3 linked regions of the Kluyveromyces lactis genome follow. The protein of the gene in region 3 interacts with the protein of the main gene of each other region in a biochemical or structural test. Links are inferred from orthologs where the notes say so. Each region holds a gene or a part of one and is shown on either strand. Other genes may lie near its edges.

Region 1 (5,328 bases), on a different chromosome or scaffold from region 3:
CTAGATCGAACTTACGAGCCCTTAGGAAACGCAACAACGTCGAGTCATCAAGTCTTTCCTTATATCCCAATGATTCTAACAATTCTCTAAATTCCTTCAACTTGGCTTCTTGTTCTGAATCAAGATTGCCTGGTGTTCCAGACAATGATCCACTAGGACAAACCTGGGGGTATGATTCTAAAATTTCTTGTTCACTTACCATGATGACAGGGCTCTATCTAACTTCCGGCGTGGGGTCAACTTTTGGTTTAGCTAAATGCAATGGTATGAATTTAGATCAATCAAGGAACGAGACACCTTCTTAAACAAGTGTGCTAATAATAATCCAACTGTTGAAAATGGGAATTTGAAGTTTGCTTCTCAAAAATATTACCTGTATAGATGCAAAAACTATAGATATCTAAAATGAAGTCACTCAGAAACAATATTATGAACTAGTAACAACGAAAGAGGAAACTGTCAATTAGAAAGGTAACCTTTACCACATTTTCCACGCATTTCTTAATGGTTAAAAATTGTTTATATTCCTGCGTTTTGTATCTGCGTTTTCTGCAGTTTAAACCTTAAGCCACCGCCAACAAATGCAGGGTAACTATTTTGGTGAAAGCAAATGCGTAGCATACCGTAAGAGCAAAGCGTCAGGTGATCGATGACAAGACCATGCAGAATGTTCATTGTATAAGTCGGTTGTTGCTAATGCTACACGTTGAAGTTTATATGTATATATGTGTCTTGAATTTTATAATAAAGTATGTTTTAGTAATAAAGTCGTTTCTCGAAAACTGTTTGAATAAAATGTGAAGTAGAGTCAATAACGTAAAAAAATGTACCTGAGATGCCTGAACCATTGAATTATCTATTCGTTGCAAATTCGTTGGTGTTATACTGTCATCTGTTGCTATTTATTTGATACTGAATATCGATTTACCACCGCATTCATTGTGGTGATGGACAATTTGTTTCTTTCTCTTCCGTGCTGCAAGAGTGGCAGAATTCGCTAACGCAGAACCGCTGTTCCTGGACGCCACGGACGAGCTCCTGGAAATAGAAGCGGAAGAATTCGATTTCAAAATTGAGTTTGAGCCATTGGTATTCGTAGAGTCATCAGGGACCATTGAATTAAGCGACAGCGAACTGAGTTTTTCTTCCAGCTCTTTAGGCTTTCTAGATTCTTCTTCTTCTGGTTCTTTCCCCTCTGCTACTGAATTAAGTATATGTCCTGGTTCCATTGCACTTACAGGAATTGGATGTTCTTGTGTTCCAATACTGGGAGAGGATATCCCCTTCTCGTCATCGTCAACATCCTTCGTCTTTTCCTCGTCTAGAGTGGGTAAAGTAGGAGCAACTGATTGTTCGGCAGAAGCATTGAATTTTGGAGATCCGTTAGCGGAACTTGACGCACTACGTCTGTTGGCCTCTTCTTCAGCAATGAATATCATGGACTTGGATTTGATCTTAGGGCTCTTCAAGTTAGATTCCAAAAATGGGTTGGTAGAATGTGATAAACCTGAATTTTCTTCGTTGAAAGAGGATCCAGTAGATGGGATATCGTGTGGAATTGGATCATCGTCTGTAGTAGCTTTTCTCAATTCCGGCACCTTGATTGGTTCTTCTTCATATTCTTCGAAACATGATTCAATTTTAGCCATCCAAGGGTCGTTGAACAGATCATCTATAGTATATCTTGTAGAAGCATCAGGATCCAATAACCGTAGACACACTCTGCTTGCCTCTACACTTCCTAATTTGCTGAATTCCGGATGTTCTGCACCTGGGCCTGATCTATAAACACCAGGTTTCCTAAAATGTGGGCTATGTTTGTTGAATTGCTCGTAAAATGCAATGTAATGTCTATATTTGGAATCATCCTTGTGTGCTTCGGCGAACAAAGCAAACGGACAAACAAGGTTGAACATCAATATACCTAGGGCCCAAGTATCCATCTTGAACGGATCGTATTCTTCTTTATCCTTGGGCACCGGTATAACCTTCTTCTTCTTTTCACTTAGAATCATAACTTCTGGTGGCACATGTGGTGGAGAACCACAATATCCTCTAATCTTAATTCTTTCACTGGTAGGATCTTCAGGGTCCTTGATACCGTACGTGGAGATACCGAAATCCGTTAATTTTAGGGCACCGTAGTCTGTCACTAGGACGTTTTCCAACTTAATATCTCTGTGAGCGATACCTAATGAATGCATATGTCTGATACCTCTTGCAATCTGTTTGAAGCAACACCATTTCTCATCGAGCGGCTTTGTAGCCCACCCTGATAACGTCGTATAATGGAACATGTCTTGTACGCACTGCTGCATCAAGAAAGCCCAGCTTCTCTTTGGACCATTGGAGACACTTGGGGTCTTCATGATATAGAAAGTCTTGATAATGTTGACATGGTTACTCACTTTCTTGGCGATCATGAATTCCGTGATACAACGGTGGTAGAAATGATCAGGCGTCTCGTCTTTAAACAATTTGAACCTTTTCAATGCGTAAACTTGTTTCTTGCGATATATCGAATGAACCGTCATCACCTGGGAGGAACCACCTTCACCCAACGTTTTCCTACCAGAATCAGCGAATGCAAAGTTATCCGTCAACATTACACTAGGCTGTTGCATGGATTCAGGCAAAAAGTCGTTCGGATTCTTCAAGGGCAACGGTAGAATGTTTTCACCTTTGGCATCACCCTCGGTCTGATAGAAACCCAACGACGTAGAAGACGGCGTCGCAGACGCAGAACTTGGCGAATGATACGCCTGTGACACCGTTGGAGGACGCGAGTGCACGTCAAGGGATTCAAGAGGTATCCTTCCGTTAGCGGAATTCAGGAAAGGGTTCGTATTATGCGACGCAAGACTGGGAATAGCAGAAGACGACTTTATAACGTGCATATTCGAATTCATATCACGATCCTTTTCCCTATCCTTATGCAACAGAGACGCCCCTCTAGTACGAGACTTACTCTCCAATTTGGGGGACATCCGAGGTCTCAACTCCCCGCCCGATAAGAACGGATTAGACCCCAACTGTTTGCCCTGTTCCACATGATGGGACTTGGACCGTCCAAAAATCTTCTTCAAAGGGTTCTTTGAATGCGAGGACGACGGAGTCGTCCCTGCTCCTGCTCCTGCTGCAGCAGGAGCATCGCCAATTGGCGATCTTCTTAAGGATCGCACAGATGAAGAACGGATAGGAACTCCATTCCCATTTCCGTCAGATGACGTAACTGCCTTGGCACCAGGAGTTGTCTCCTTCTTATGCAACAACTTGGCCATAGCGACTTTTTCCGACGAAGGTGTAGAAGACTTGATATCGTCCGGTATCATAGACCTGGAACTGGATAGCGTCATAGCTCACTGTCTCACTGTCTCGCTGTGTCACTTTTCCTCTTGTATTGAAGACCAAAAGATTTATAACCTTTTTCCCTTAGTCTTTTTCGCTCTATTTTAAAACGTTCGATAAATTCTGTATTCTCAATATGCCACTCTCTGTAATACTAATTCGAAAACAAAAAAAAATCAAAAAAATCAAAAATCGATAATCAAAAAGTAAAATGAAAAAGAAAATGGAAATGAAGAAAGAAGAGAAACCGAGATTAAATATTGGAATGAGAGGGGGGTGGAGAGGAGAATTTAAAGCGTCAATTGAGATTAGTGAGATTAGCAGCTCGACTCAGTCAGGAAAGAGACAAGGCGGATGCGGCGGGAAAATGTAGGGTGAGTGAGAGGGAGAGTATGTGTGAGTCAGCAGCTTCAGTTATGCAGAAGGCTTCTTCGTATTTCAAGTCAGGCACCTGCTCGGGTTGTCAGGGCCCGAATATTGTCCCAATATACACGTTATTGTATACATATTGACTATCTCTGTCCTATCTGTCCTATCTACTATGCATATTATATATATATCAATTTCGCCATATGTCGCCAGACATTGCCGTATTATCATTCTCACTGTGCTATATCTATGCTTTTTCCGCTTCTCTGGGGTATAGTGAGAAAATCAGGGAGGGAAAATGAGGAAGAGTCAGGGTAACAGTGTACACTACTAGCACATGCATGTGTTGGCGCATGTGGTTATACATGTGGTGGTGCCAGTACCATGTGTATGGAATGTCTGTGAAGAATGTCTTCTGCTATGCCAATGTAGTTCTTCCTCCGACCTCTTGGGAGGCTTCTCCTGAGGGCATCTTTCCCTCTCTATCTCCGATGAATTTCTGGTATATATGGCTTAGTTTTTGTAATTCATGAGTCGAAATGCTGGGTTTCGCTTCTTGACATGCGTCGAGCATGTCGTGCGTGGATATGGTTGGTTTCACGGATTGTACCGATTTGGAATTGCCATTCAACGTCGTAGCGTTTTCGAGTAGTTCTGTGATTCTGTCCATAGTTTCCTTGGTAACGGGTTTATCGCCTAGTGAGATGTAGTCTAGTTGTTGTTGTTGTTGTTGTTGTTGTTGTTGTTGTTGTTGTTGTTGTTGTTGTTCTTGCATGGCTGAAGGCTGGCGATCCTCTTGTGTTTCCGCGTCTAAAGACCTGTGTACTGCTTTCAAATATGCATTGTAACTCATACCTTGCAAATCAGCACCGGTGAACCCTTCAGTTCTTATTGCTATCTCATGTAGATCCAAATCATCCTCCGTGTCCATCTTCAACGTTACAGCGCGTAATATATCCTCTCTTTCTGTGACATCTGGGATGTCACATATCACACTCTTGTCTAGACGGCCCGGTCTTAGCAATGCAGAATCGATAAGGTCCGGTCTGCTAGTGGCCGCTAGCACGTACACTCCATCGAGCCCCTCAGCACCGTCCATTTGGGTCAACATTTGGTTCACCACACGGTCAGTAACCCCGGTAGAGTCGTGACCTCTCTTTGGTGCAATGGAATCGAACTCATCAAAAAAGAGGATACACGGTTTCGCAGCCTGAGCTCTATCAAAAAGATCTCGTACGCTTTGTTCTGATGCACCGATGTACTTGTTCAAGATTTCTGGACCCTTGACGCTGATGAAATTTAGCCCGCACTGTTGGGCCACTGCACTGGCCAACATTGTCTTACCACAGCCGGGGTACCCGTACAACAGTATACCTGACCTCAACCTTAGTGGGGAACTGGCAAAAATCGGTGCGTATTTCGTGGGCCATTCTAAAGTCTCTAATAGTAGTCTTTTCGCGTTGGTGAGTCCACCAATATCAGACCATTTCACACCTGTACTCTTTTGTAATTTCACTGAGCGTAATGATGCTGGTGTAAATCCAGTAAGGCATGATTCCATCAACTCTCTGGTCAAAGTTAACGACGTGTCACTTGAAGTCAATAGTTCAT
Region 2 (4,233 bases), on a different chromosome or scaffold from region 3:
CTTATACACTCTTATTCCTATCAAAACCATGGCTCAAATTCTGGATCCTTTCCTAGTTCTCAATCGAAGCTTTTCAAATGTCGAAAAGTGTTAGCAGCATCTATCACTCCGTACGATTATCATCTGTTAGCTGAAAAATTTTGGGAAAAAAGCTTTAAACCTAAAGACAATTCCATTGAACAATCGAAACAGGTTAAACAGATTGTGGAGTTGTACTGTTGACATTCACGATTAGTTCTCCATCTTGAATCTAACCGAGAACAGCAGTTTTTATCACAGGTGGGTTTGGGAATAATATAAAAGAAAAAATGTTGCGTCAAGTGGTAAGATCATCCGGCGTTTTTGCAAGGAACAGTTGTAGATTAGGTTTGGTTCGTTATCAATCGACTGCTGGTACATCTACTCCAGCTGCTGCGGTTGATCCAAAGATTTCTCAAATCGTTCAAGATATCTCCAAATTGACTTTATTGGAAACTTCTGCTTTGATTCAAGAATTGAAGACTCAATTGAACATCCCAGATATTTCGTTCCCAGCAGCTGGTGCTGGTTCAGCTGCCCCAGCTGCTCCAGCTGAAGAAGCCAAGGAAGAAGAAGTCGTTGAAGAGAAGACTATTTTCTCCATCAAGTTAGAATCGTTTGATGCCAAGTCTAAGCCTAAGATCATCAAAGAAGTTAAGAACTTGTTAGGTTTGTCATTGGTTGAAGCTAAGAAGTTTGTGGAAAGTGCTCCAAAGGTTTTGAAGGAAAACGTCGCTAAGGAAGACGCTGACAAGGTTAAGGCTGCATTGGAAGGGCTAGGTGCCAAGATTGTCTTGGAATAGACAGATACGTCGAACACCTCACGCATGTAAATTCCCCATGTCAAAACGAGTTCTCTTCTCATTTTCCTGTACATAATAATAACCAAAAATATATTAATATAAACTCTTAAGATTAAGATATATATATATAAACGCAATCCGACCGACATAACAAAGTAAAAAGAAGAGGTAGTTTCACGAACGATCCGTTCAAAAATGAATCGATTATGAGTTATGTTTTTCTTTGAAGATTTCGTTAGAAATCTAAAAAGTATTGGCCGTATGGATCTTCGCCCTGAACGCCATAGTCCAGTTGCTCTTCCGGATATTGGTCGAACAAAGAGGAATCACCGACACCGACAGCGATTGGTGGCTCGTACGGCGTCTCGATGTCCTTTGCCACAAGCTTTTCCCATATAACTTCCGCAAACCATGGATGCGATTTGATATCATCTGGCCCGCTTTGTAAGTTACCTAATCTACGGGTCAAATCTGCAGTGATCAACTTACCTAATAGATCCACAACATCAGGGTGGAAAAATGGTGGATAAACGACTTCACCAGCTAAGATTTTCTCATAGGTCTTCATTGGCGTAACATCATAAAATGGAGTATAACCAGCGAGCATTTCGAAGATTAAGATTCCAAGAGACCACCAGTCAACAGACTTGTTATATGGTTTCGTTGTAATTACTTCAGGAGCAATGTAATCAGGGGTACCACATAACGTCCACGTCACTGTGATTACCTCTTTGGCGAACCCAAAATCCGTTATCTTGATATGCCCATTCCTATCCAATAGAATGTTTTCTGGCTTCAAGTCACGGTATATTATGTTATGAGAATGTAAGTATTCCAAAGCTAAAGTCACCTCTGCTGCATAAAACTTAGCCACAGGGTTGGGGAATCGTTGGGATTTTCTGAGCAACGAGAACAATTCACCACCTTCGATATAATCCATAACCATGAATAGATTACGAGAATCCTGGAACGTACCCCACATCCGAATTAAGAAAGGATGTTCAACCAGCTTTAACATCCGTCTTTCATCATTCGTATGCTCAATTTGCTTCATTCGAATGATTTGATGTTTTTTCAAAACTTTGATGGCATAGTAACGTCCATTGTGCACACTCCTCACGAGATGCACTCTACCGAATGACCCTGTTCCCAATGTACGCATGATTTGAAAATCATGCAACGTATATTTCCCCTTAGACACAGTAGACCTTTGAGGCAACAACGATTCCTTCTGCTGAGCCAATAAATAATCGGTAGATTGTGAACCCACGGTCACATCCGCCGGATTCACAGGATTGGTTGCAGGAGCTGGAGCAGTATTCATCTGTTGTAAATTCACAGGCTGATATTCCATCCTCTTGTTTTCCTTTTCCCTTGGGGTCAAAATCCCCTAGTTTACTCTAATGAATAAACAGTACAAAATGGGACAAACCAGTTTTTGCCTTAATTATAGCTTTGGACTGATAGTCTTATATGGATATTGCACTTTTTCAAGACTCAATGCGCCCTAGATTGCTCTCTTTTTCTCACCACAGTTGACTCTCCTTTTGTTGTTAGTTTTCCTTTGGTCTAGTTTTTCACAATTCACTGTTCATGTGAGGAACAGAAACCCTTTTTCGATATTTAGTAGTGGAATTCGTATATTGCGATAATGGCCTTGCCAAGGATGAGGAGGGAAACTTCAGCAGCAGCAACAATGAGCTGTGAACTGCGAGTACCGTAAACCTGTGTCAGCTGCCGATTCAGTAACCAGCTTACTTTCATGGTTGCTCATGTTGGTGAGAAAATCCCTGTGTGTGTTCTCCCCCATGTTCCACTATTCAAGTACATATAAGAAAGAAATATAAGTGTGAATTAGGTAACAGATTTCCGAGTTATAATTTATAACCAATGTGGGTTAGAAGCCCATGATTAACTGATGATGAGTTGTATATATGTATGAGCGTGTGTGATTTTTTCTACTCTACAGATTTTGCAACTGTTTGCGCATTGTTTTCGTCTTTTGCGTTTAAAGCCAGATATTATTGGTAGTGGTAGTTTTGGTGGTGTTATTAGGGTTTGGTAGTGGGTTGGTGATAGCCATTGCATTTGGATGCGTTTGTTGTTGTGTTTGCAGTTGCTGTTGCAGAAGCTGTTGTTGCTGCTGTTGTTGCTGCTGTTGTTGTTGTTGTTGTTGTTGCTGTTGTAACATCTGTTCTTGTTGACCTTGAACTTGTGCCCTTTGCTGTTGTAGTAACGTGGTAGGTTGAGGTAACTGTGTATCTAGTTGCTGACCTGATTGTGGTTGTCCTTGTCCCTGAGTTTGTCCTTGTCCCTGAGTTTGTCCTTGTGGTTGTCCTTGTTGTGGTTGAGACGCCACCTGTTGGTTCACTTCGTGCTTCAACTGTTCCATGTTTCTGTCGATAGCATTCATGACTTCATCTGGGATCGTGGAGATAACTTGGGTGTTTAGGATAGTCTGTTGTTTTATGTCTTCAGCAGTTGGATGAGAAGTATCATCTGGTTTCCAATAGTGGAAATGTGTTGAAAATTTCTTCATAGCCAATTGTTTCACTTTATCAAATGAATCCTGTTTATTACCATTTTCATCTTTTTGTTCCAATGCTTGGGCGCCTCCTTGTTTGTCGATCATGGCTTTTGTGTAACGCAACATGGTCCAATCAAACAAATGATCATTATGGTATTCCAACTTGATGAACAAATCCTTGAACAAACGAGCCAAATACATATAATCTGGTCTTTCATCGAATCTGAGGTTCCTACAATATCTCATGTATTCAACAAATTCCATAGGTAAACCTTGACATAGTTGTTCGACGGTGATGCACAATTTCTTTTCCATGATACGGTCGTATTTTTGTCTTTTTGTCGTGGCTCTGAGCCCCTGCCATGGTAAGGACCCTTTGCAGAAATATATCAACACGTAACCCAAACTCTCCAAATCGTCACGTCTACTTTGTTCGATCCCAAGATGCGTATTGACACTGGCATAACGTGCAGTACCAGTAAGGTTCTTATTTTCTCGGTATGGGATATGGTTATGACTTCTAAAATCTCTATACTTCTTGGATAAACCAAAATCAATAACATGCACGGTGGATCCACGTCTTCCGACACCCATCAAGAAATTGTCCGGTTTAATATCTCTATGAATGAAAGATCTGCCATGAATGTATTGGATTCGACAGATCATCTGCAGAGCAAGCATGATTACGGTCTTAAAAGAAAATTTCCTATGACAATAGTTAAATAAATCTTCCAAAGACGGACCCAAAAGATCGATCACCATAGCATTGTATTCACCTTCCTTCCCAAACCATCTGATGAATGGTATTCCAATACCGCCGCTCAAATACTTATAAACTCGAGACTCATAGTCTAATTGAGGATGCTTCGTACGAATCGGCTCCAA
Region 3 (4,599 bases):
ATGCTTTGAAGATTGGACGTTTGTGTATTAAAAACGGTTGATTATATATACATATTTGTGTATACACTCAAATGATGTGTTATTTGATTCTCAAATTTAACGTAGTAAGTAGTAGCTTAATGCGCTAGTAATAAAAACAGAATTTATTCCTCCTATGTTAAAAGTTAACCTAATTTAATCGAACAAACCGAAACCCATGTCATCATCGGATTCTTCCTTGGCTTCTTCTTCCTTTTCTTCAGCAGCAGCTTCTTCGGCACCGGCAGCAGCACCACCAGTAGCAACTGGAGCAGCACCACCAGCACCAGCTTCGAACTTGACCAACAAGTCCTTGATGTTTTGCTTAGCCAAAGCCTTAGCAAAGATATCAGCCCAGATACCTTCAACTGGGACGTTGGCAGCTTCAGTCAAAGCCAACAACTTTTCAGAAGAGACTTCGATATCAGCATCAGCCAAGATCAAAGCAGCGTAAGACAAAGCAGTTTCAACAGACATTTCTAATGTAAAATTTCCTGGTTCTGGCAAGTGTAGAGATAATCAGATTAAGCTCGTAATGAAGCAGACTATTTCTTTGGTCCTTTGAAAATAAGAGAAACTAAATAATAAAACGATATAAGTAATAAGAATATTTCATAAAAGAAGCTTCAAATTGAACAAATGCCATCATGTGTAAAACAAATACTTTTCCTATCGAAATGTTAAATGGTTACTCCTGTAAGTTTTATTGATATTTCACATCTCATCGTGGAAAGGTGAAAAATTTCAGGAAAAGCTGCGTGGTTTCGTCAGGCATGATAATTCGTGTGATGTGATATAATGTTTCTGCATGAAACGCTGGATGTACAGAGTCAGCGTAGATGTACAAGGGAGAATCCCTGATATTGAGTCGGAGTGAGTCCGCAGATGGGTGCTATATTCCACATAATATTCTATGTTTTATAAACATATATATACTCGCGCGCAGTGTTACTGATGAGTGTACCTTGTATCTTAAGGTATGATGCGAAAGTTATGGGATTGTTAAAAGATGCATGCAAAGTGAAGTAATTTGCGAATGTGTTGATTGTATCTGTCGTTAGTCGTGAAGGTAATGAAGGAGACAGCAGTGCAGGAGAAAATGCTTTCAGTTCATGAAATAAGCTCCAAATTAGGTTAATGATCCTGCAAACTTAGTTTGATTGCTTGTTGGAGCATTTCGTCATCCAGTTCTTCTAATGTTTTCTGACGACGTTGAGGACTATTCCCTCCGTCAGGGCCTCCAACTGAAGAAGAAATGGATGCGTGTCTAGAAGGGTGTTCGGGATCAATTAATTGATTACTCATGTGTATTGCAGTAGCTTTTGCTGATCTTCTAGCGAGTCTTAATCTTTCTTTGGTTAGATTGATCTCCCAGTCAGGTCTTATAGAATCGGATGTTATCACAGACGGATCATCGGCTGCTATTGAGCCCCTACGAATTTGTTCTATAGTTACGAGTTCGTCATCTTCATTGCTGCTAGAATCCGATACTAGGCCTTCACGGTCCTTGTATTCGGCAATCTTGTATTCGGAAGCGTAGATCCCGTTGATTCCAGTCCGCACGTCCCTGCGCGGTTCGTATGTTACACCAAACTCTGCAGTGGCACAGTAAGGGCAATTGGCAGGTTCACTGACAAGAAGGTTGGGATCCTTCAATTCGTCCGGTTCTTGATCTTGAGTTGGATCTACCTCTTCATGCGGGAAGTGTGGTGCGGCACGCTTGATTTGGACGAAGCATTCAGTACAGATCGGTTGCTTGCAACATCTGGAAATATTCAAAGGCTTAGGAAAGTAGAGGAAACATATTGGACATTCTGCTCCATTTTTGTACAAAGTATATTTCAAATCATCACTGGGTAAAGCCGGGTTCTTTGCTTCCGTATGTTTTTTGTTCATAAGTTTCAGCTCAAGATACCGTTCATTTGCCCTCTCCTGCCAACCAACTCTTTTGAAATATAACCTTGCCTTAGAAATTTTCGACCTTTGCCTTCTTTGTTCCCTTTTCGAAGCGGTACTATCCAGTAGATAGTCAAATTCGTCATCGGCTAAATCACCGGTCGGAACTCCCTCAAATTCTTCTGGGTCCTGTTGAAATGAACAATGCAAAGGTAACCCATCAACAATTTTTATGACCTCTTCTCGAGTCCAAGTCTGATCAAATTCTTGCAATGGTGTGTAAAAGGGAGCCAACCTCCTTTCTATAATTAAATTTTTAACTATATCTGCTTCATAGTCCAACTTATCGAAATTATAACATCCAAAAGGTGCTAAAAACCCACCATCCACAGTTTCGTTGTACTTGACCACAAGTTGTCTAGCATGCTTCTCTTTGAGCTTCTCCTTCTCCTTCAAAGACTTCTTCTTGTACGGATTCGGACTGTTGCCGTTGTAACCGTTAGCACTATTATAAGAGTCTGATCTCGCTCTCCCACTAGCACTTAACAAATTTCCTACCAAGGAAGTAGCCCTCCTATTCCGGTTAAGATTTTTTGGGCCCTGAGATCCAAAATTTAAAGACTCTGACCGTTGCTGCTTCCTATTTGCAGGGTCTTGAGGGCTATCAATTTTACCTGGAACATTTCCCATGGCTGGTTTAGATATTAGTGTATATATCCCTCTGTTTCTGATCCTATTAAATTCTGAGGTTCTTCACTTATAAGCGGTAAAATAATATCTAACTTTCCACACAACGCTAACCGGATACTGTAACTTCTGAAACAATGTATACGCAATATAACTAACACACCTTGTTATATGACTCAGTTAATCTATTGTATCTGTGAAGTTAGAAAAAAACCGTTCCTGTGTTCTCCCTATATAATGGAGTTTTGTCTCCTATAGAAATAAAGGGACGTTTTTCTTATGATGGAATTTTTGATTTCAAACCAATTTATTGCTTTATATAGCGACAAAGAGAAACCAGAACATTTGATATAACACATAGTGAAAGCCTCCTGTCTAATCCCGAACATGCATAAAAAAGTCCGAGTGACGAACTGGGAGTTAACAATCTCCAACCTTGTTCGGTGGAAGATATGAGATGTATATATGTATGTAGCTATTATCCCGAAATTCATTTCGGTCGAAAGCGTCACGATACGCAGGCATATGGCATTAAGTTGGAGGTAGAGTACCGGAAATTCTGTCTACATCGGGATACGCACTGTACTGTATTTCTAAAGTTTATGGATAACAATACAGGAGTTTTGATAGTGACACTGAAAAAAGATGTAACTTACATATGGGTATTTGGTATAATAGTGTGACTCACACAGTGAAAGAAAACTAGGTTGAAGAATAGTTGGACCAGGTTTTTGGATAGATTCACTTATCATTCCTTATTATTTCTTAGGTATATATCTTTACATTAGGAGCGAGGCGAAGTTAATGAGATATGAGCCGGGTTTTCATCAATGCTGACCGAGCAGAAAGTAATGACAGCTGATAAGCTTACAGCAGATGCTCTACAATGCCGAAAAAAGACGTACATATATATATCTACTTACTGGGCCGGAATTTGTGAGTTACTAAGAAAATCTTACTACGTTGATGTTAATGTAGGACCCTTAACTCGGCCTTCTATTTTTGACTTTCCTGCTGATATTTTAGTTTCGATCACTTTGTTAATAATATACATTTACGCGAATAAAAACAGCTTAAAGGTTCAAAGTGTCAAAAAAATATTAGGAAAAAAGGAACTGATTTGCTTGACACATAACTGTTATGATGAGACATGGAGTTTTAAAGAACAAGTACAGAGAAGAGGTGGCACAATACGTCTACGTATGTGCCGTTATATAGTCGTTAGAATACTTAGCACAGCTGAAGCCTTCTCAGAAATGGCCTTCAGCCTTTAGTAGAACGGTCATATCATCAACAGACTTGGTAACTCTTTCCACAATGGTGGAGACATCGTCTTCGGTGATGATGAATGATGGTGCCAACAAAGCAATATCACCAGAAACACCGTCGATGTTTCCTTGCATACCCATGACAGTAATTCCATTTTCGAAACATACATCTTGGAAACGGTGACCAACGTCAAGCTTGTATGGGAATGGTTCCTTTGTTTCTCTGTCCTTGACAAATTCTAAGGACCAGAATCCACCAATACCTCTGACATCACCGACGATGTTATCGTAAGCTAGCAGAGATTTCTTCAATTTCTGACCCATCAAGTTACCCTTTTCAAAGATGTTTTTAGTTAAATCGTTATCCAAGATCTTCTTTTGCACACCAAGGGCAACGGCACAGTTAAAACCGTGAGATGCATAAGTGTGGGAACCGATCATACAGTTCGAACCTTCGGCGTATGCTTTTTTGATTTTTGGACCAACTAAAACACCGGCTATGGTAACGTATCCGGAACCCAAGGTCTTACCAACACTTTGGATATCTGGGGCTTCTTCAGCTGTCAAGAAATTCTCCCAACAGTTCAACTTACCGTTAGGGTTGCTTCTACCAGTACCACACATGACTTCATCGAGCATGAACACAACGTCGTACTTATTACAGATACGGCGGATACCTGATAGATATCCCTTTGGTGGTGGAGTAGTACCTAAGGAGGAACCTGGCAAT

What was found. The genes of interacting proteins can lie anywhere in the genome.
Region 1: the proteins of SIP5 (region 3) and PTK2 form a complex in vitro, tested with the Saccharomyces cerevisiae proteins (2 studies listed by BioGRID, with this or other methods). The link is inferred for Kluyveromyces lactis from reciprocal best matches to the Saccharomyces cerevisiae genes SIP5 and PTK2.
Region 2: the proteins of SIP5 (region 3) and TPK2 form a complex in vitro, tested with the Saccharomyces cerevisiae proteins (2 studies listed by BioGRID, with this or other methods). The link is inferred for Kluyveromyces lactis from reciprocal best matches to the Saccharomyces cerevisiae genes SIP5 and TPK2.

The regions. Positions count from the first base shown.
Region 1 is NC_006038.1:575,734-581,061, forward strand, and holds PTK2 (protein kinase PTK2), read right to left. Parts: upstream 3,357-5,328; coding exon 903-3,356; downstream 1-902. Other genes in the region: KLLA0_B06479g (phosphatidylinositol/phosphatidylcholine-binding protein), read right to left, coding at 1-202; PEX1 (AAA family ATPase peroxin 1), read right to left, coding at 4,136-5,328. UniProt on the Saccharomyces cerevisiae protein: Essential determinant for high-affinity spermidine transport. Required for the activation of the plasma membrane proton pump PMA1 via phosphorylation of 'Ser-899'.
Region 2 is NC_006040.1:265,875-270,107, reverse strand, and holds TPK2 (cAMP-dependent protein kinase catalytic subunit TPK2), read right to left. Parts: upstream 2,176-4,233; coding exon 1,057-2,175; downstream 1-1,056. Other genes in the region: MNP1 (mitochondrial 54S ribosomal protein bL12m), read left to right, coding at 309-821; serine/threonine protein kinase HRR25, read right to left, coding at 2,830-4,233.
Region 3 is NC_006041.1:1,967,141-1,971,739, forward strand, and holds SIP5 (Sip5p), read right to left. Parts: upstream 2,605-4,599; coding exon 1,153-2,604; downstream 1-1,152. Other genes in the region: RPP1A (ribosomal protein P1), read right to left, coding at 175-495; KLLA0_E22089g (uncharacterized protein), read right to left, coding at 3,852-4,599. UniProt on the Saccharomyces cerevisiae protein: May negatively regulate the SNF1 kinase by promoting the interaction of the REG1/GLC7 phosphatase complex with the kinase. Deletion of SIP5 promotes resistance to artemisinin, which is probably an indirect effect of an action on the electron transport chain.